Astyanax mexicanus: one gene and its partner. The protein of the gene in region 1 purifies or fractionates together with the protein of each later gene. This does not show direct contact. Links are inferred from orthologs where the notes say so. Each region holds a gene or a part of one and is shown in the gene's direction. Other genes may lie near its edges.

Evidence for each region. Proteins that work in one complex are often made in the same cells at the same time.
Region 2: the proteins of ppm1g (region 1) and kpnb1 purify together in Homo sapiens (affinity purification with mass spectrometry; 3 studies listed by BioGRID and IntAct, with this or other methods). This does not show direct contact. The link is inferred for Astyanax mexicanus from reciprocal best matches to the Homo sapiens genes PPM1G and KPNB1.

What each region holds. Positions count from the first base shown.
Region 1 is NC_064414.1:18,136,169-18,146,805, forward strand, and holds the start of ppm1g (protein phosphatase 1G), read left to right. Parts: upstream 1-6,194; 5' UTR 6,195-6,759; coding exon 6,760-6,870; intron 6,871-7,809; coding exon 7,810-7,879; intron 7,880-8,758; coding exon 8,759-8,844; intron 8,845-9,398; coding exon 9,399-9,528; intron 9,529-10,637.
Region 2 is NC_064410.1:32,298,733-32,309,019, forward strand, and holds the start of kpnb1 (importin subunit beta-1), read left to right. Parts: upstream 1-6,402; 5' UTR 6,403-6,657; coding exon 6,658-6,697; intron 6,698-7,933; coding exon 7,934-7,992; intron 7,993-9,297; coding exon 9,298-9,480; intron 9,481-10,287. Other genes in the region: ube2m (NEDD8-conjugating enzyme Ubc12), read left to right, coding at 1-45, 588-728.

The sequences.
Region 1 (10,637 bases):
AACTGCTTGGATGAAGTCTGTGTTAGGTTACGGGAGGAGACACCCAAGGGTCCTCACTCCCCTCACCTGGCTTTTTGTTTCTCTCTCTCTGGGTTGTAAATGTGTTGACCTATCGAGATATAATTATACTATGTTTTGACCCATTGATGTACTTTTACTCCTTTCTAATGTATCTATTAAATAGTCCCATTTATATTGATTTTAAATTCTAAAAACTTTTACACAATTTATCATCTTTTCATGTTCTGGGATTTCTTACTTCCGAGTTTAACATGCTTTCGTAAATTGCCCTACAATGATGATGGTCTAAATTCATTGGCACATGTTAAGATATCAAACCAGATACTGTATCAGTCAAGTCTGATAAGCTGCATCTAGGATAAGTGTTTAGTTTATATTTATACCTTTTATAAATGTACATAACCTGTTGGAAGCCTGTTAAGATAATGGCTTGTCCAAAGGAATATCCAAAAGGTGGCGCTATTAGCACTTATATAGAGCTTTATTTAGACCTGCTATTTTGGTCTAGTACAAGTTTTGATTCTAATACAGTCATGAACCTTAAAAATGTATGAATTTTCATTTGATAGTAATACAATAACTATAAGGCAGTAACTATATTTTTGATTTGCTATATTAATTTGAGATTTCAATAAACTGTATGGAAATATTAGCTGTCATTTATACTGTGTGAACCTTCTGTGGCAAGTAGAAACTGTAAAAAGCAAAACGTTTCAAGTTAAATTAGACCAAAAATGTAAGAAACTTTTTAAGTCTAATAAAAATGAAATGTATAGACATCAGAGATTTTGTAAGAAGATTTATTTTTATTTAATTAATTATGTATTTTTACATGTATTATAAAGAGATGCACCTGGAATAATACTAAAATATCTAGCTTAAACAATTAAAATAAATTAATTAATCACAAAAAAGATACAGATACAAGAATAAAATACAATCAAATAACATTCAGGCTTGAGGCTAATGATTATGGTGGCAATGTTCATGTTGAAAATCAAGACTATGAAATTTTGACACCCACCAGTACTCACTTTCCAGGCCAATGTACACAGACTTGTGTTGAAGCAACACTTCCACCTGCTGTGAGAATTGAGAAAGGGGTGTTGAACTGTAATGATCCATAAAGGAAAATTAAGTCAATTATGGTGAATCTCAAATTTAAAATACAAGGCAGTGCTGCTCCATACTCTAAATAAATGTTCCTCTATTGTATTTCTCAGTAATATAGAGCAGGTTTCACTATACCTCACAGTAGCTGCTGCTGGAGGTTGATGCTGAGATGAGACAGCTGGCTTCAGTAGATCTGTGACTTTTCCTTCTGACATTAAGTAAAATGCAAAGAAACAGCAGTGAATGTGAATATTCAGTAATACAAATGTAATGATTAGCTACAAATGTCTGTCATGCTAACTTTACTTTGCTAGCGTTAGCTGGTTACTGGGTTTTGCTGATTTACAAAAAACTTGTGTGAATCTTTCCAATTCCAAACCAGTGGCGGAGATAGGATTTTTCTGAGTAAGGGGCCAGCAAGGGGCCATTTATAGAGGTGCCAAGTATTATTTCACCAGTCACACCATGTTCAAACACGTAATTTTAAAAACACTTAAACAGTAGAATATATAGAGTTAATTAATTAAGTCTTTACTTTAATTGTTGTGCTTTTTGTATTTTTGTTGATTCTGATTTTTTAGTTTTTCTATATGTACATAATCTAAAATTTTGTCTGGATATTTTATATTTTTGTGTAAAACATTCTGGAAAAAAATTACTTTATAATAATCTCCTTACCAATTTTACATGCATTTTTACTGTACATAAACAAATTATATTCATAAATAGACTCAAAATCCAGCATCTTATTTAATTTTTTAAACCTTTTTACTTTTATAAAAATACTGTCAGTCCAGAACATCAAAAAATCTCCCTTAAACTTTAATCACTGTGTTTTTCCTATTGGGCTCATTAGCGCATGCGCATGGAACTGCAGCCACCTACAATCTGATCATCGCTCTCGGCCAGAGTGAGAGTATACATGCACTTCAAGCTGGGGCCAATGCCCCGTGGCCCCGCCCCTAGAACCGCCAGCATTCCATGAGGGTGTTTTCAATGAAACTACTGCTGGGAACACAGTAAATGAAGCCCTAACTACAAAGTTAGTAACTAGAGATGTCCAGCAGCGCCGCTAATCGGCCGATACGAGTCATTACAGTCCGTTCAGTAACATCACTAAACTACGACCATTCGCTTTATCATAAAATCACCCCATTGATACAAACTATACCCCAGAGTTTACAGCACAAATTCTATACGTTTTATCATAAAATTACCCCATTGATACAAGCTATTCCCCAGGGTTTACAGCACAAATTCTATCTGCTTTATCATAAAACTACCTCATTGATACAAGCTATTCCCCAGGGTTTACAGCAATAATTCTATCCCCTTAATCATAAAGTCACCCCACTGATACAAGCTATACCCCAGTGTTTACAGCACAAACTCTATCCGCTTTATCATAAAGTCACCCCACTGATACAAGCTATACCCCAGTGTTTACAGCACAAACTCTATCTGATTTATCATAAAATCCCCCCACTGATACAAGTTCTACCCCAGAGTTTACAGCACAAACTCTATCCGCTTTATCATAAAATCACCCCATTGATACAAGCTATTCCCCAGGGTTTACAGCACACATTTAGTCAGTCTAACTCAATAAAATAAAAATCAATTTACATATTCACCTTTAAATATTAAGACAGTCTAACTCAATTAAAACAAGCTCAATTTACAAAGTCACCTTTAAATATTAAATCAGTCTAACTCAATCAAAACAAGTTCAATTTACATATTCACCTTAATGAATTAAAAATGTAACAGACTTGTGCAAAAATATTTAGGAATTGAAAACAAAAACTCAGTTTCACAGTCCCATCTACAGATTCAGATTAAATGCAAAGTGAACAAAACATACAACAGTCTACTAAATATTTAAAAGCAGTTCACAAAAAAGTCTTAAATCATTTCGAATGAACTTTTTTTTTAACAAGTTTGCAAAAAAAAAATACATTATACTTTTTGTTATTGATTCCCTTAAGAAAGTGACAAAAACATGAAAAGAAATAACCATGTGTTCTGCCCTGGTCCAAGCTAAACCGACACAGGTCCACTTATTGGGGTGGCATTATAGCATGCTAACGCGGTGTTAGCATAACAGCATGCTAACACAGAGACTCTGGCCCGCTCACGGGGTCGCTAATGCGGCGTTAGCATAACAGGGTGTAAGCCCGGTCTGTGAGCGCCCAGTGCCGGACCGTGCCTGGCCACCAGATATTGATCCCTCGCATAAATGATATCCTTCCGTTCAGCTCAGCTGTACTATTAACGAAATAATACAGTGGCATTCATAAAGCAAACAAAAAATGACAGCACAACTGCATTACTATATACATTATATATATACATTACAGTATAAATTAAATAATTTATTTTTTTATATGTACATACATATAAAAGTAATGCTCTTTATAGGTATATATTTGAGCAAAATGAAGAGTATGTGTGTGTACATATAAAAATTAAATTAGTTCATTTATACAGTTATTATATGCCATACCGTACGTCTGTCTTTGTTAAAGAGCATAAAACAAAGTATGTCAGCATGAAAGCACATATTTGTAATGTGTGACAGCGTCCTGTATCTCCTGTAACTAAAAATCCTGTGAAAGGTCTTATTATTATAGGTGTACTAAACACCTTCCTCAGTGTAAATTAATGCACTGGGGGGCGCATGTTGCCTCCTCCAATATGGCGGCCATGCTGACACGCCAGCTCAACAGCAGCTAAACAGCGCCCTCTAGCGGCTGGGAGCATTTCCAGTGTGGCAAACGTAATTAAGTAATTTCGTTTTTCTTAACGCAGCGTTTCTGAAATGCTGCGTTTTCTTTATGTAGTTGCGTTTTCTTTATTTATTTATTTTTAAGAGTGGAGCAAATGTAAGTATACAAATATAGAACAGAATTGGCATGCCAAAACATAGTAGTACTACTACTACTAATAATAATAATAACCACATATCCTATGTTATTTTAAATATTAGGTGATAACTGGTCAGTTTTTGTTATATATGTATATACGCACGCATAATTTTTTCTAACAACAGTAATGTGGAGTAACGTTTAGGTTGTAAAGTGGCCTTTACTTTGATGTAATTAATAATAAAGAGAAGTACAGATTTGTGATTAAAAGTAATTACATACATGTTGTTAACTATAGGGTGGGCTTTGTTTTATATTAGCAAATGTGTCCCCCTAATGTCAAACCCACTCCTACGCCCTTGTGTATTGATGTACTGTATTATTTTCTATAACCAAGACAAAACCATAGGTTTAGATATGTTGAGATGGATGGCCACGATAGTTAAAGACATTTACACAATACACATTTTTTTTCATTATAACCAGCATGTAATAAAATGTACAGTTGGGTTAGAGTTCTTTAAGCGTTTATGATCTCAATATGTGTAAAAATAATAGTGTCTGTATGATAGAAAATTTATTAAAATATGATAAAATATTGCCATGTTGCCAAGCTCTGTTTTGAGATCAATTTAATCTAAAATTTATTCTGACTGCTGCCTCTATATTTTCACTATTTCATCCACCACAAACATTTATATTGAAATTACGAAACTTCTTTAGAGATTTTAATGTAATTGCAACATTACTTTACGATTTTACGAAAAAAAAAACATTTAAAATATTTTAAATCATTGTAAAAAAAAAATGAAAATGAGATCTAATTTTTCTCTTAATAAAGTTTAAAGTCCTGTAATGCAACACTTTTAATCTCCTTGTATTTTTTATACTCCCCGTTTTATGTTTTGTATTTTATGAGAAAATGATTATTACTATTATTATTATTATTATTATTATTATTAATAAAACAGTCTAATGCAATTGTGAGATTAAAGTGTATGAAAACATTTTGCTTAGTTGTTATGTATTGTTTGGGTTAAATAAATGTTTTATTTATAAATTTACGTTTACTAAAAATATTTCCAAAAATAACAGAACTGTTAAAACAATGGATACATGCACGGTATATTATATTTTACATATTTTTGTAAATTATACATTCCACAGGAATATTTTTTCTTTTTTTCGTTTTTATTAATATGCCTTGACATCTGTAGGATTGTGAAATGTTATATCGTTGTTTAACTATAGTATCTGATTATCAATGTTTTAAAAATTCACTGTTTGAATGTTTGGTCTATCGACTGCCGTTTTGCTCAAAGGCGCAACTTCAGTCTCCATCAGCTCGACTCTACCAATTATGCGGGCCTTTCGGTTCAACCAAAAAAACAACTGAGAGGAGAATAGCCACTTAAGAATCTATTCTGTGTGTGTGTGTCCCTTTATCCTAATATAGAAAGATTTATCTGGATACTTTTTTATGCTGAGAAGCCGGAATGAAAACAAGCTGAAAGGAAATAAGAGTAACGAGGCTAACATTTTTTTAAATGTAAGAATTAGAAATGATCAAATCAAACCAAACTTATTTGTATAGCACTTTGAACAACTGATCAGCTTTAAATAAATGTGATCGTGGGACAGAGAATCAGGCAAAACATACAATACAGAAACCCCACTGAGGGACAGAGGCAAGAAAAAACTCCCTCAGAGCTGGAGGAGGAAGAAACCTGGGGAGGACCAGTACTCACATATGGTGGAGGGGAGAAACAGTTTTTAAATGAATGTTTTATAATGAAAGTTATTATACATACAGATCTAATATTTTCAGGTGTATAGCAACACCAAGTAAAAAGTCGTCTGAGATAACCAAAAGTTCTACTTAAGTAAGGTAGCTAATGAAGTATCCGTACTTTGTTAGTTGACACCTCTTGCACTTTCCTCAAAAAAAAATCTGACTTACAGGGCATTCATTAATACTAAAGACCACTGCATAATTATTAAAAAAAACGATAAAATGCGACCTTTAATAAAGGAATATAACGGACAAGCAGTTAGATACTATTTTAATTTGAGTTTAGCCGTTTAGCTCTATTCACTCCCATTAATTTGGGTCTCCCTCGCGGGTTCCCTCTAGCGGTGGGCTGTAATTCTCTGATATAACGGTGAGAGGGGAAGGAGAAAGTGGGCAGGCTCTCCGAAAACCGGCTCTGGTTCCACTTCCTTTAGAGAACACCAGTCTGTGAAATGGGTCCGACAGGCTGCTGCCGCCGCTGATTATGCCCCTCACACGTGTTACATTTTTCCTGTGTGTTTTTTGAGCCTCCTGAACCCCGCCGCCGGTGTGTTTTTGTGTAGTTAGGTTCTCGGTTGTGAGAGCGACTCTGTGATTGGCTCAAACTCCAGCAGCAGCAGCATCTAATCTAGCTACGTTATAGTCCTGCGTTGGCTAACGCTAGTTAACCTAGCAGTGATTATAGAGGCGCTAGCTAGCCGGGGAAAAGTACCGGGTGAACAGCAGTAGCAGCGCCAGCAGCTCTCGAACTGACCGCCTGCTCCTCGCTCTCTTCTGCCCGGGCCTCTGAAATGCTGGAGAGCCCATCTGAGCTCCACCAGACACGCCGCTTCTGAGCTCTGCTTCGTCTGTGAGTTAGCTGAAGCTAGCTTAAATAAAACAGCTCGGTTTGTTTTGTAGCTTAACCAGCTGCGTGCTGTTCTTCTCGAGCTCCCACAACAATAGCTTAGCTAGCTCGGCTGGATCATGGGGGCATACCTGTCTCAGCCCAACACGGAGAAAACCTCGGCCGACGGCGGGAACCACAAGCTCCAGTACGGCTTTGCAGCCATGCAGGGATGGCGCATTTCCATGGAGGTAACAAACCAACCTAACCTAATATAGCTAAGCTAAGCTATCTTATGGGAAGCCTGGAGCAGGCAGAATCAGTGGGGTTATGTTAGTTAATATTAGCTAAGCTCAGCTAGCCGTTCACTTCGATACAGCTAACTGCAGCTCATAAATTGAACTCAAATACACTTAATGGAGTTCGAAGTGAGGGCCGGTGTCCTATCGAGTTGTGCTACCCATCGATATGTGCTACTTTGCGGCTCTGCGCAGGCGCGAAAATATATATAATTTTTTTTACTGTTTTCATGTGTTTTTTCCTTAGAGGTGGGTAACCCAGGTCCAGAAAGTAAAAACCCAATCCAGGGTTTTGTACCAACTGCTTTGGTTTTTCCTGATAATTAACTTATTCTTCCGGATGCCTTGTACAATCTAGACTCAAAATCATCGTTTGTTTGAGTGTAACAACAGTGTAAAAAGTAACAAAAAATGCACATATAAATGTTTTTTTAATCGCCTATACTTTCTTAACTTTACCTTGATATAGCGATTTATGCTATTCAAATATCATACCGACAGTGCTGCTGCATGCAGCATGTTCTAATAGTTTGTATTTTTACAGTTAAACATACACTAAGGTAGCACAGTTTGACAAGGTAGCAGAACTCGACACAACACCGGCCTCATTCTCTTTCATTCTGCTGCTTCAGACAATGTAGCTAGTTTACCAGCCATGCAGCACTAGGTATTATAACCTAACTACCTAAGCTGTTTGAATGAGTTAGGTTAGTTAGCTTAGCTGCGATTCTCAGGGTCGTGTTTGAACAGTGTGATGTGTGCGCGGGTTTTCGCGCCAGTTTAACTTTCTGTCTGCTCGCCGCCACATGGCTGTCTGCATTGTTCTGTGGCCTTCCAGCTCTGCAGCCCTCCTCATCCACTCTGATAATTCCTCTATATCTACACTAACAGGATGCACACAACTGTATTCCCGAGCTGGATGACGAGACTGCTATGTTTGCTGTCTATGATGGACATGGAGGTGAGGAAACGTGGCTTGCGTTAATCACCAAGTACCTAGCTAACATAGTCGTTATCAGCCTCTGCTCTGATATGTAAAAGCGCATTAAATCAGTTAACACTACCCCTTTCTTGGAATTGAGATGAGCTTGTTTTCTCTTCTGTGCATTAGCTAACTAAATATTAAGTTTCTGTAGTGTAATGTCCTGTGGGGTGACGCACAAAGAAAGGGGCACCTTTTTTTTTTACACGTCACAGACCCTTTAAAAGAGATGTAAAGTTCCTTAATTTACTTTATTCCTCATTTTAACTCATAAAGTTCCTAAGTGACACATACTGAGCATCCTGAAAGCATCATCACAGGACATTGTGTGAATCTGTGTTCGTTATCTGACCTTATTTACAGACTGTAGGTGTGCAAGGTTAGTGCTTATTTTATTGAGCTTTTCCAACCATTTAACCAAACTGTTATGAAATTTGTTACATCAAAATATTTACCGGTAGTAATTTTCCTCCACTGCAACTATTCAACACACCAGGTTATAGGAGAAATCTGGTGTGAAATGGACTTGATTTAGTGCTAAACTTGATAACAGTATAATAGCCCACTTCTGTTCACCCCCAGCATTACAAAATACAGCACTGTTAGACAATTCTCCCAGCAGACCTACAATGCAAGTGATGGGTGCATAGTGTTGCCCATGTAAAAATCAATTTCGAAATAAATAAAATAAATCTCTTCTAAATTTCTACACCATTAACAAGCTCAAAGTAGCCCCACTCATGCTTGGTAGAATTCTGAGGACCTTGGCATTTAAAACATTAGAACAAATTCAACAGTTCATCAGTTGCAGTATGTGGGCCTGATAGTAAGACATATGCACTTTCTCTTTCCTTCCAGGTGAAGAAGTTGCTTTGTACTGCTCCAAATATTTACCCGACATCATAAAGGAGCAGAAGGCATACAAAGATGGCAAACTGCAAAAGGTAAGCACAGTAGTTTTTGTGCAAGCGTAGAAGATTACAGCTGTGCATTCATCAGTCTTCCTTTCAACCACAAAGTATATTTTGACCATTTCAAGGAGAGAATGTAAAGGCTTTGCACTGGTAAACCATAGCAAGTGTCAGGCCCTGAGTTAAGCAGTGTTAATTGTGTGTACACAGATGTTCTGTGTACTTTTAAAGCAGCTTTTGTGCATGTGTCCTCTGTTTGCGAGGCGCACACCTAACAGTGGTTGCTAGGATATTGCAGCTGGTTAAATGAAAGGACCTTAGCTGTCAATTATTTGGTATTTGATAAGTAGCATTTATGGATTTCACCAGAAATTTAGAGCAGCTAGCGTGTTGATGCCATCCATTGTAATGTTAAATCTGCACCAGACCGCCCTCTGTTCTGGCATAAGTCAGAGGTGCAAATATGTCTCGGGTTCCACTCTTATTAGTCATCTTAGTAAGTGTAATTTGATTATACTGAACATGAAAATGGAGTTTATATCTCTGATTACATACTTTTTTTATACTGTTTGCTTCTGTGTCTCCAGGCTTTAGAAGACGCCTTCCTGGCAATAGATAGCCGAATCACCACAGAGGAAGTCATCAAGGAGCTTGTTCAGATAGCCGGTCGCCCACAGGAGGAGGCCACATCAGAAAAAGTAGCAGATGAAGATGATTGTAAGTACAATGACTACAATTTTAAATACAGGTGCAAAATGGACCATGGTAATAATTGACGTCAATTAAACATGTACAGTTATAGAAGAGTAAAAAGTGGATTAAAAAAAAAATTGAGTAATAGTGTGACATGTTATGGTGACTAATCAGGGATACTGTTCCTGAAAAACAAGTACATATATTTTTTTTAACAAGCATGCATCTTGACCTAGTGCTCTTGTACGATTTATTTCTCTAATGCACGCATATCGTTTGATCTTGCATTTCGACAGTTTCAGTCAAGTTGTCACTGAAGATGATTCCACAGCTTTTGGTCAGCGTGTTTAATTTTCACCAAACCACCCTGCCCCACTTAGCTTTGCCCATGTCAGAGATCTTATTAAGGATGAGTTTGTCTGCATGAGTGTTCGTGTTGCGCTGCTTATCAAAGAACCAAGTTAGCAAGGCCACTAATCCAGTAAACTACCTGTGGAGCCATCAGCTGCTTTCATCCACCCTTTAACACACCTTTGCTGTACTGAAGACTCTCAGGAGCTCACTCTCGAATACTTGCTCTGTCCCACACTCGTGCACGCTCGTTTGCAAACAGCTGATTGTATGTTTCCTATTTGCAAAGTGGAATATGGAGCTATACTAGTGTTTATTTTCTCCATTAGAACTCAGTAACTCAACACATTACAATATTCTAATTTTAAAAGCTTCAAAACTATCCTGAGATATTATACACAGTAATATTGCCAGATCTAAACCACACCACACTATTACTCTCTCCCTCCTTAAAATACAAGGAACTACTAGTGAATGATGATTAATCACAGACTATTATAAGGAATTTTTAAATGTTTAGTAAGCAGTTATCCTTTAAGAAGCACAGGCTAGTACAATGTAAGACTTTTACAACACATTTTTACGTAATGCAAAATAGTGTTAGTTATTATCAGCAAAATTCTGAGTAAGTAATATTAAAATGATGTGCCGGGATGAGGTTGTACTCATTAAATTATTTCAAGGTTGGCAGGTCTGTCAATCATTTTACAGTGGTATGAATTTGAGATGGTGGTTTTAATAAAAAAAAATCTTCAAATACATGAGAACAAAACTGATTAGCA
Region 2 (10,287 bases), on another chromosome or scaffold:
TTGACAATTAACTCCATCATATACGGACTACAGTATCTATTCTTAGTAAGTGGATGATTCAGTGATTCAGTATTGTCCCTTTGATTTTAGAGTCAGTTAAATACTCCTGGAGAACATTTAAAAGAGGTGGTGACTTTAGAGTCAGTTTCACTTTAAATTCTCTGTGATAGATTTTAAGAATGGTTGTGAAGTAAGTAAGAATTCTTTAGGAGAGGAGCTGTGGTGATTGAATAAGGGTCAATGTTCTGAAGGAAGAAACTAGATTTAAGACCTACATGATTTTTTTTAAAGAAGATTCAGAGCTGTTGTAATTTTAGAGTGTGAGTTAATTTACTTTCTCTAGAGAGAGACTGAGAGCAGTGATGATTTTACAGTAAAAGTTGGTTCACATTATTTGCAAGAGGAGTGATTCAGAGAGCTGTGGAGATTTTACAGTACAAAAACTAATGAGGAAACGAATCAAAATGTCCTGACTGGTCAAGAGGGTTAACTTGAAGAATAAGATTTTTGGAAAAATTATAATTTTAATGTTCAGATTGTTCAGTGTGCAGAGCTGAAACTGAGTTATCCATGTGTTTTCCCTGCAGGAGCCAAATCCTGAAGACCCGCTGAACAAAGAGGCTGCGGAGGTGCTGCAGACGAACCGGCGACTTTTTGAGCAGAACGTCCAGCGGTCACTTCGCGGTGGATACGTAGGGGCCACCTACTTTGAGCGGTGTCTGAAATAGTGCCCCGCCACTGCCAGCGCTTCATACCAAGACACATTTATCGTTTACACACGCTGAGACACTGACTGACACCGACGGAGAGAGGAAGAGGGGTGGGGTGGGAGGGGATATTTTGGAGGTGGGTGGGGTTTTAAAGACGGGTGAGGCTTGAACAGTCAGTTAAAAAAAAAAAAAAGTTGCTCGGAGAAGGCCGAGGCGATAACAGTAATGAGTAATGCCACTCTGCTGGTGCCCACTGTTTTTATTTTGGGATTTATTTTTGGTTGGTTCTTTTTTTTTGTTTGTTTAATTTTGGCTGAGATTCATATGGCATCCGTTTGATGGAAAAAATAAAACACAGACGCTCCAGTAAGAAAGAAGGGGGGGATTATCCTTTTCTTCCCTGACACACTCTGTAGACGTTTCTTTATGAAGGTGGGCCAAGCTCAGCAGAACGTTGAAGCCATTTGAGCTCTGTGGAGGTAGAATGGTGTGCATATTTGACTACACACACACACACACACACACACACTTATATATTGATAGGAGACCTGTACAGCTGAACCCTGACACACACACACGTACACTCATACACTGACTTCACGCACATGTCCAGGACGGACTGACGGACAGACTTATGGACTGACTTACAGAAATACACAAAGGACAGGATCAGTATGCAGGTTTGGCTCTAGAGGATTGGGAGATTATTGTTTGTCAAGGTTTTCTCCATGTGTAATAGTCGGAGGGGGGGGGGTGGGGGGAGCAGAGAGTTGGATTTTTGTGAAGATGGGCTGGGTTTGGGTTAGGCGGGGTGGCAGAAAATGTTACAATTCTATTGTGTATATTGAAATCCCAGCTGTTCACAATGACTGCAATATGAATTAAGTTGAATAAAATATGGACTTGAATGCTTATATACTCATATATATGTAACACAGCCACCACAATCATGTTTTCACTGGGTTAATAGTCAAGGTTTCTTTTACTTTTTTTCCTGCTTCATGTTACTTTGTTAGTCTTACTAGAATTTTGCAGTTGAGCTGATGTGAAATGGGTGTCACCACAGGTGGACCTCGCATCTCAATCCTTAGTTAATTTACTGTGATCTCTGACTGACCTTTACCTATTGCACTATTAGCTTATGTTATCATGATTTAACCCTGTTAGTAGGGTTAGGTTGGTTAGTATTAGTTTGAAATATCACTATGTTAGCCTGTTATATTTGAGTAGCTTATTAGCTCTGATTTATTAATTTGGTACACCAGGCTAAAGTTAGCTTTAGCTTTTTTTGTTTCAAATGTATCAACACACTACATGGACTAAAGTATTAGGGCACCTACATATTACACATACATGAGCTTTTGGCTATGTTCATATTACCAGGCTGAAGAAAAATCTGCTTTTTTTTGCTCAATGTGGCCAATTTTTTTTTTCAAATGAGATTTTAGTCACTTTCATATGGTCCTAAATCACATACCTATTCGATACATTGACATGTGAAATGAATGTGAATGGTCAAATCAGAATTTATGCATCTTTTTCTTTTGTGCATGCCCTATGTGCTTCTCTCTCGTACCCACACTTCTCTTGGTGCAGCTATGGGTGCAAAAACTGCAAAAGCAAACCGCCTGGTTGTTTTTTTTCTCCTCGACCTGAACTGTACTTCAGACCAGCTGTTTGTTCTCCACTCCAGCAAAAGATGCTCCACATATGAGCTGCTAACTCATCCATTTCCCTTTATAAAGCTACGAGTCGCCTCTCAAATATGACGTTTTGTGTTGGTGGTGAAGAAGGCGACGTTTATACACAAATCAGTGTGCGCATGTGAGGTGTTTCAGGGACATATTCATTCACATTACACACAGATACAGGTCACTTACATTTGAGAATGTGAACCGTCAAGATATCTAAATCCAATCTGAGCAAAAAAAAAAAAAAAAAAACGTTTTTGGACAATTTGGTTTGTAATGTGAACGTGGCCTTTAAGACGTCGTCCCCTTCTGAACCCAGAGACATTAATATAGAGTTTACCTTCCCTTTGAAGCTTTAAGAGCATTAGAAACTTCTATGCACTGCCCTCCTCAGCAGTCAGCACATCTGCACTGTACCTGTACATGGTCAGACACATACCGCTCACAGCTGGAAAATCACAGTTATGGAATATTAAGGAGGGAGGACATCCTGGAGTTCAGTCATTTAGACATGTCCCAATACTTTTGTCCATGTATCCTTTTGTGGTTAGTCTTAGACTTAAGGCAAGTCAGATTAGTTTCTCAAATCAGATTTGTTGAGATGACTGTGCATGTCCAGACATTAAAAGCATATCTAAATGAGTTGATAAGTTAACAAGGTCACTGTCGTTACCTAATCTTTGTCGTTCTTATTGGACTCCCCACTTCCATCACTCTGAATTGGATGAAACTGCTGTTTATTACATTGTAAGTGATGCAAAGACAATGATAAAATCAGATTTGATCACCCAGAGACCTATCTTTACAAATCCGAATGCAATTGCATTTTAAACCACTTCCAAATGCAGTTTGGATCCAGTTTTTAAAAAATTATTTCATGTATTTTTTGACTGTCCAGACTGTCAAAAATCAAACTGGTTAGAATTCAGATATACCAAAAATTTGACCTGAACTTTCCCCTCAGAGTATCTCCCAAAGTTGTCAATTATGAAATGTTTTACTATATTCATCCAATAGTGTACAGAGTACAAGAGAAGTAAAATTAGAATTTATCATGTAAGTCTAGCACAAAAACGTCTACTTTAGTTCACTAGCTTGTCAAGCATTCAAAACGAAGAAAGTAAACACAATAGTTTCAGTAAACTTTATACTACTGACTGCGTATTGCTGAACACCCGATCATAAATAAAAGTGTTACTGTTCTAAAACTCTCATGTTTTAAAAAATAACAGGCTGGTTATCTCGCCCACCATAACCATTTAAACCTAAAAGGGAGTCAGCAGCAGTAACAGCAAAAACTGTCCCTGTCCTGTTGCTACTGTCCCGCGACACTCTCCTACTGTCCCGCGACACTCTCCTACTGTCCCGCGACACTCTCCTACTGTCTCGCGACACTCACCTACTGTCCCGAGACACTCTCCTACTGTCTTGCGACACTCTCCTACTGTCCTGCAGAGCTCTTTAACTGTACCGCGGAGGTTTTTAACTGTACCGTGGAGGTTTTTAACTGTACCGTGGAGGTTTTTTAACTATACCGCGGAGGTTTTTAACTGTACCGCAGAGTTTTTTTTAACTGTACCGCGGAGGTTTTTAACTGTTTTAACTGTCCTGCAGAGCTTTTTAACTGTCCTGTGGAGCTTTTAACTGTGCCGCAATGTGATACATTGTGTCTTATCTTAGTTTTTTTGAGACGACTTAAGACTTATGAGATAATTCCCCTAGATTTGACCATCAAATCTATTATATAATATTTCCAGTGTCATAATACAAAGTAGGTGAGTGTCGCGAGACAGTAGGTGAGTGTTGCGGGACAGTACGTGAGTGTCGCGAGACAGTAGGTGAGTGTCGCGGGACAGTACGTGAGTGTCGCGAGACAGTACGTGAGTGTCGCGAGACAGTACGTGAGTGTCGCGAGACAGTACCTGAGTGTCGCGGGACAGTAGGTGGGTGTCGCGAGACAGTACGTGAGTGTCACGGGACAGTAGGTGGGTGTCGCGAGACAGCAGCAACAGGACAGGGACAGTTTTTGCTCTTACTGCCTCTCAAGGGAGTCATACAACCTGATAATGTCTTAGATCAAGTCCAGAATTAATAGGTTTATAAAAACCTTTAGTAGGACATTTTTGTTTATTATTGGTAATTATTTTAATACTGCTCTCAAATTTTCCACACAAAAGCATCAAACAATTCAGCTCTTTTTCAGGTTTTTAAACTTAAACTATAACCGATTATTATTTCTGTATTTACTAAGTACTGCACATTTATTTACTGGTCTCAGATATGAGACTCGAAACAAGTGGAGCAGAAAGTTTGTGAGGATTACAGTGAGCGCCCCTTATTAGATCGGACCAGGGGATTATGGGAAAGTAGCAGCCAACGGGTTTAAGCCCTCATTTGCCAAGCAGAAAGGAAAACCCTGAGAACAACAAGCACCTAATTAATAATCACTCAGTAATTAATACTGGTAATTAAGCATCCAATCATTAATAATGATCAGACTGTACTTTGGGTGTACTATGGAGGACATCTTGTATACAATAACAGCAACTGTACAAATGGAAACTATGAGCCAAAACTTTACAGCCTCTCTGACTGTGGCCCAGAGCTGCTGTTTATTGAGGAGCACGCCAGTCAGAGCAGAGGTGCTCTGGTACCTTCTGTCAGACAGCATCACTAATTAAAAAGGTTCTGTAGGGGATTGAGGAGAGTTTTTATAATAGTGATGGCTTTGCCGATTTGGTGTGTGGTGTAAATATCAGGCCCGTTGCAACAAGGCAAGAAAAACCAATCAATTGTCTAGGGCCCTGAGACATTGACTGGTTATGATGATTCTGTGATGGTCACTGCAGGAAAGTACAATGACACTGATACCGGAATCCCCCTCAAGGGGCCCTTCCACTAGTTGCTGACAGTAATCATCCAGCCAGGTTTGTGATTCCTGCAGCTGGCAAAAAATGCATTTTGCTTGGGACCCCCAAAAATGGCCCTCTGTTTAGGATGGAGAGGATGGAGACTAAAGACGATCTCAGCTGTCCTCAATATTAGATTAGGTTATAGGTTATATAGGTTATAGGACAGAGATGCTGTGATTCTACAGTCCTTCTGTAAAATATAGGGATGATTCCTCAGTCTGAGCTTTCTTCAGTCTTTACAAGATGTTGCTGGGCTTTCTTGGCTATGAATTTGGGATTGAGGTAGGTACCCGGTGAAATTATCTGCAGGGTGAGCACAGAGCAACATGTTAAAGATTCTTGAAGTTACCCTGTTAATATTATGATCCAATAATTAACAGAAAAAATCACATCGAAATAATAACAAAATATTAAATAAATAACATTAATATTAACACATGAACACGTATTTATCCCAAAACAGCCAATGATGATTTGAGCCTTTAAAAGATGTGTAAAGTTACTTAAAGCACTTTGTCCTTCACTTAAACTCATGAAGTTCCTAAGTGATGCATACTGAACCTTCTGGGAGCATTACAGTAGAGTGTGTAGATGTGTGCTTGTTTATCTGGTCTTATTTACAGAATGTAGGAGTGCTGGGTTAGTTCTGGAGGTAGTTAGTTCTAGCTTCATCATATAGTAAAAAGTGTATATAACTGGTGCTGATATTATTTCTAGAATAAAATGTTAAAATACAACTTATGACATTGTTGTACTGTTTATGTTTTATTGGAATGTTAACCATAAAATATTAAAAGTTTAGTGTTTTTTATTAATTACAATAAGAAAAAAACACGAATGAGCTGCTCAATTAATTTAACCGATTACATTTTTCATTTTAGATCAATATTCAGAACTGAGTCTGGGCTTTGATGGGTTAATTCACTAATTTATTCCTAAATAAATTATATTAAAATAATAAAATAAAAAATGTTCTGAAGAACCTGTCCTCATCTGGAGAGCGCGCATGCTGAGTCACGGGAGCGCGCAGGAGGGGTGTACGGGTATTTTATATATTTATTTATTTAAAGTGCAGCGCGCATGCGCGTGATCGTACCGCGGGAGTCTCGCGGGCCTTTCTTTTCCCTCCGCACGCGGGGCAGAGTGCGAACTGCTGGAACAGAGGAGCAGAGCACGCGGAACGACAAACAACAAACAGGCGAGGAAACAAACAACCGGCCAAGTGCGGAGAGCCGAGCGAGAGACGGGGGAAAGAGAGAGCGGGGCATTTCCGAGAGTTCCACTGTTTCATCTGCAGCGCGTTAGCCCCTCTCTTGTAGCCCGAGTGTGAGGTGTTAATCCGGGATGGAGCTGATAACGATCCTCGAGAAAACCGTCTCTCCAGGTGCCGCTTTAATCTCTAAACACCCTGTGCTGTTCCTCCCAGGCTGGCTGCAGTTCCGCTGCCTCAGTTCTGGGGGAAGATTGTCTAAAATGCTCTGAAATGCTGGCTGACAGGCTGGGTTCGGGCTAGGCACCGCTAGCAAGGCGGCTAACTCTATGCTAGCCAGCTATGTTAGCATGCTATGGGCCCAGCTGGGACGCCGCTGAAGTTAGCGCTCTTTCTAACTCTCAGTTCCACCTTAAACGTCGTATCGCAGCGCCACAGTGAACCTGCGGCACGGGTTTTAAGGTGGACTGAAAACTCGAACGGCGGATACCTAGTTGGATTCAACTTTAGCGACTTCCTTCAGCTCACAGTGTGCTGTATGCTGATTTTATATATGATATATATGGTTTAACTCGTTAATAAATAGAAAGGTCGTAACGTAGGGTCGGGGCGGTGATGTAGTGTGGGGCGGGTGTTGAAAAATGCGCGGTTAGCTGTCAGCTTTTAGCGTTTACCGGCCCGTTAGCTCGCTAGCTTAGCTAACCAAGCTAGCGTTAGGTTGGCTAGCTAACTCGGCGCGGGTTTTTTGGCTGATTTTGTGAGCCGTTTGAGTCCGTACTGGGTCCATAAACACCCACGTAAACGTTTTAGTGCGTTTTCTGTGTGTGTAAAGTGTATATAAATTAACAAAAGTGGCGTTATTTACTAAAGAATTTCGTTTTGGTAAGTTTGTCGGTTGCTAACCCGTCAGAAGTTGGCGATAGCTCAGTTAGCCGTAAGACTAGCTTAGCGTTAGCTAGAGAGCGCTAAAATCTAGCTAGCCGGCTCATTAAAAGTTTATAGGTTTATAGCCGCGCAGATCTCGGGGAATAAAAAAAGATCAGTAGCTTAATTCGCACATATAGGTGAGATATCGCGTCTGTGCCGATTATTATGTGTTTTTAACGCTGAAATTGGGCTAGAGTTGGCCGGTATTGCAGGCTGGGTTGGACCGGTATGTTAGCGGATACCGGGACTGGTTCTCTTCATGCCCGGCGGGAGGGAGTGGTAGCTACATCTTAAAAGGGGAGGTTCACGTTAGCTAGCGTTAACTTACACGGCTTTAGCTAGTTAACTAGTAGAGTTATAGCTAGATATAAACTTTCTACTTTTTAATAATTTTTGTTGTGCGTTTACTGTGTCTCTCCAACTTTAACTGTGTACACCGGTTGGTTTGCTGAAGCTTCATTTACAGTCTGTCATTTTCCTCAGATCAAAATGAGCTGGAGGCGGCGCAGAAGTTTTTGGAGCAGGCAGCGATTGAAAATCTGGTAAGTTTCGTGAAGCTTTATTTCTTCTGGTTTAAATTCGAGCAGACTGATGAAGGCTTGACTGCAGTGAGCACTGGTCTCTCTCTCTCTCTCTCTCTCTCTCTCTCTCTCTCTCTCTCTCTCTCTCTCTCTCTCTCTCTCTCTCTCTCTCTCTCCTCCACACGTTGCCCTGAATGGAGCAGCTCACCGTTAGCAGGCCACTGGGCCTCTGTAACTCCCGTATCACTGATTGTTAATCCCTTGATTTAAACGGCGAGTCCTGCCGCAAATGCCTGCACAGCTGTGTGCATTACACCATGTTACAGGTCCAGATAAACCGGTCAGACAGTAAGCCAGTTTGCTTTATATGTACTGCTGTATAGTAAACATTATATACGACACAAGATTGATAAGATTCAAATTGAGTAAATAAACTGATATTTATTTTTAAACGATACTGTAAAGCTGTACTGAATCTTGGCTCATTTAATGCCTCCTAAAGCTACAGATGTGTAAAAATCAGACGTATCCCTCCAATTCTTTGACTTTGTTCCTACTTGACAGTTGCATTCTGACCAGAGCAATATAATTCACCTACATTTATCTGATATCATACTATTGATTGGTTTGGTGGATTGAATTTGATCTCAATGCAGCCTAGTTATTTTATTGCCATCGGTGCTGTGAGATTTATGCCTGACCGTGGAAAGTTAATTGTAAAAAAACAGGCAGGTTATTTACACATGAGCTTGTTCTCTAAGATTAGTTCCAGGGATTGCACTGTACAGCCAAGGAGTTTGTCTCCCTAACAACATATCTGAAGTTCAATTATTTGTATCAGTGTTGTAACAAAGCAACTTAGTCCCAGCCCTTTTTTGAGTGAACCAGTCATTAGCAAGTGACAAACTCCCTCATAGGAAGAAGAGATTTTTTTTTTTTTTTACATGGAGCAGCCAAGTGTTGTCTTAATATTTAGCTTTTTTTAAAAATAACTATGTGCATTACAATTGTTTGCTTTACTAAAATAAGTTATGAAGTACTATAAGTGTTGTACTAAATTCAGTATTTCACACAATGAGTTTTATGAAACAGGACTATATAATTGTGCTATATAATATCTGCAGCTGGCTGGTGTTTCAGCTGTAAGGAAAATATTGCAATGTACTCAAAGCTTAATGCAACAACTTATTGTCATAACTATGCCTATGTTACCCTGTTAATTTGAATTTAGTCAGCCCAAATAGTAGGGGCTTCTGTTATGTTGCCACTAAAATGTTTGTTATATTTAATTTTTGTTAACTTTGTGTTCTTCCTTCTTCTCTTCAGCCCACTTTCTTGGTGGAGCTCTCCAAGGTGTTGGCTAATCCTGGAAACACCCAGGTAGCCAGAGTCGCTGCCGGGCTGCAGGTGAAAAACTCCCTCACGTCCAAGGACCCTGATGTGAAAGCGCAGTACCAGCAGAGATGGCTGGCCATCGATGGCAATGCTCGCAGGGAGATTAAAAACTATGTAAGGAACTTCTTCCCCCAGTAATTTACCTTTTTATTAATTACTTTAGCATTGTTCTCAAGGGGAATTTATGTGCGAGTCCACAACACTGACACAATGTAGACACAATATATTCCAGATTGGCTCCAACACCAATTTAGTGGTATTTAGGTTTTGCAGAGCTAAATCTAATGTTGGTGTAATGGAGATCTTAAACTCTGCAGAATTTAAGGCAAATATCTAGCAGCCAATACACACTACCGTCTAAGCCTAAGAGTCCTGTAGTGACAATGTTCTGGTTAATGGTAGGAACACATTAATGCTATGATGAACAAAATGAAGTAGCTGCCTGGTGAAGAGCTGTGTGGAGCAAGTGGGTATCTAGAAATATTTCTGTAATGGCTTAAATGTTATGGTTTGTTTTATAAACCTATTTCCTCGTTTTAGCGCTGTTTTTAGCTGTGGTGACTTTGTTTTAATGTCAATCAGCACAAGGCATCTGTGAGCTGATGTATCGGAACTAAGTTGTTGCGCTTTCCTCTGAGCTCACTGTGATGCTATTCTGCATTGTATTGGATGTGGTAGGTGGTAGTCCTCACCCTCCGTGTGTTGGGGCGCACATCAGCTCACAGATGCCTTGTGCTGTGGACATTACCCTAGGAGTGATGTGGGGAGAGAGCGCCATCTACCCACCCAGGGCCAATTTTGAGCGCTGGCAGCTTAATGGCAAAGCTGCATAAGTGGGGGTTCGAACCTGCGACCTCCCACTCATAGTGGCAGCGCTTTAGACCACTGGACCAGCGTACATATTTTTAGTAGACAAGCTTT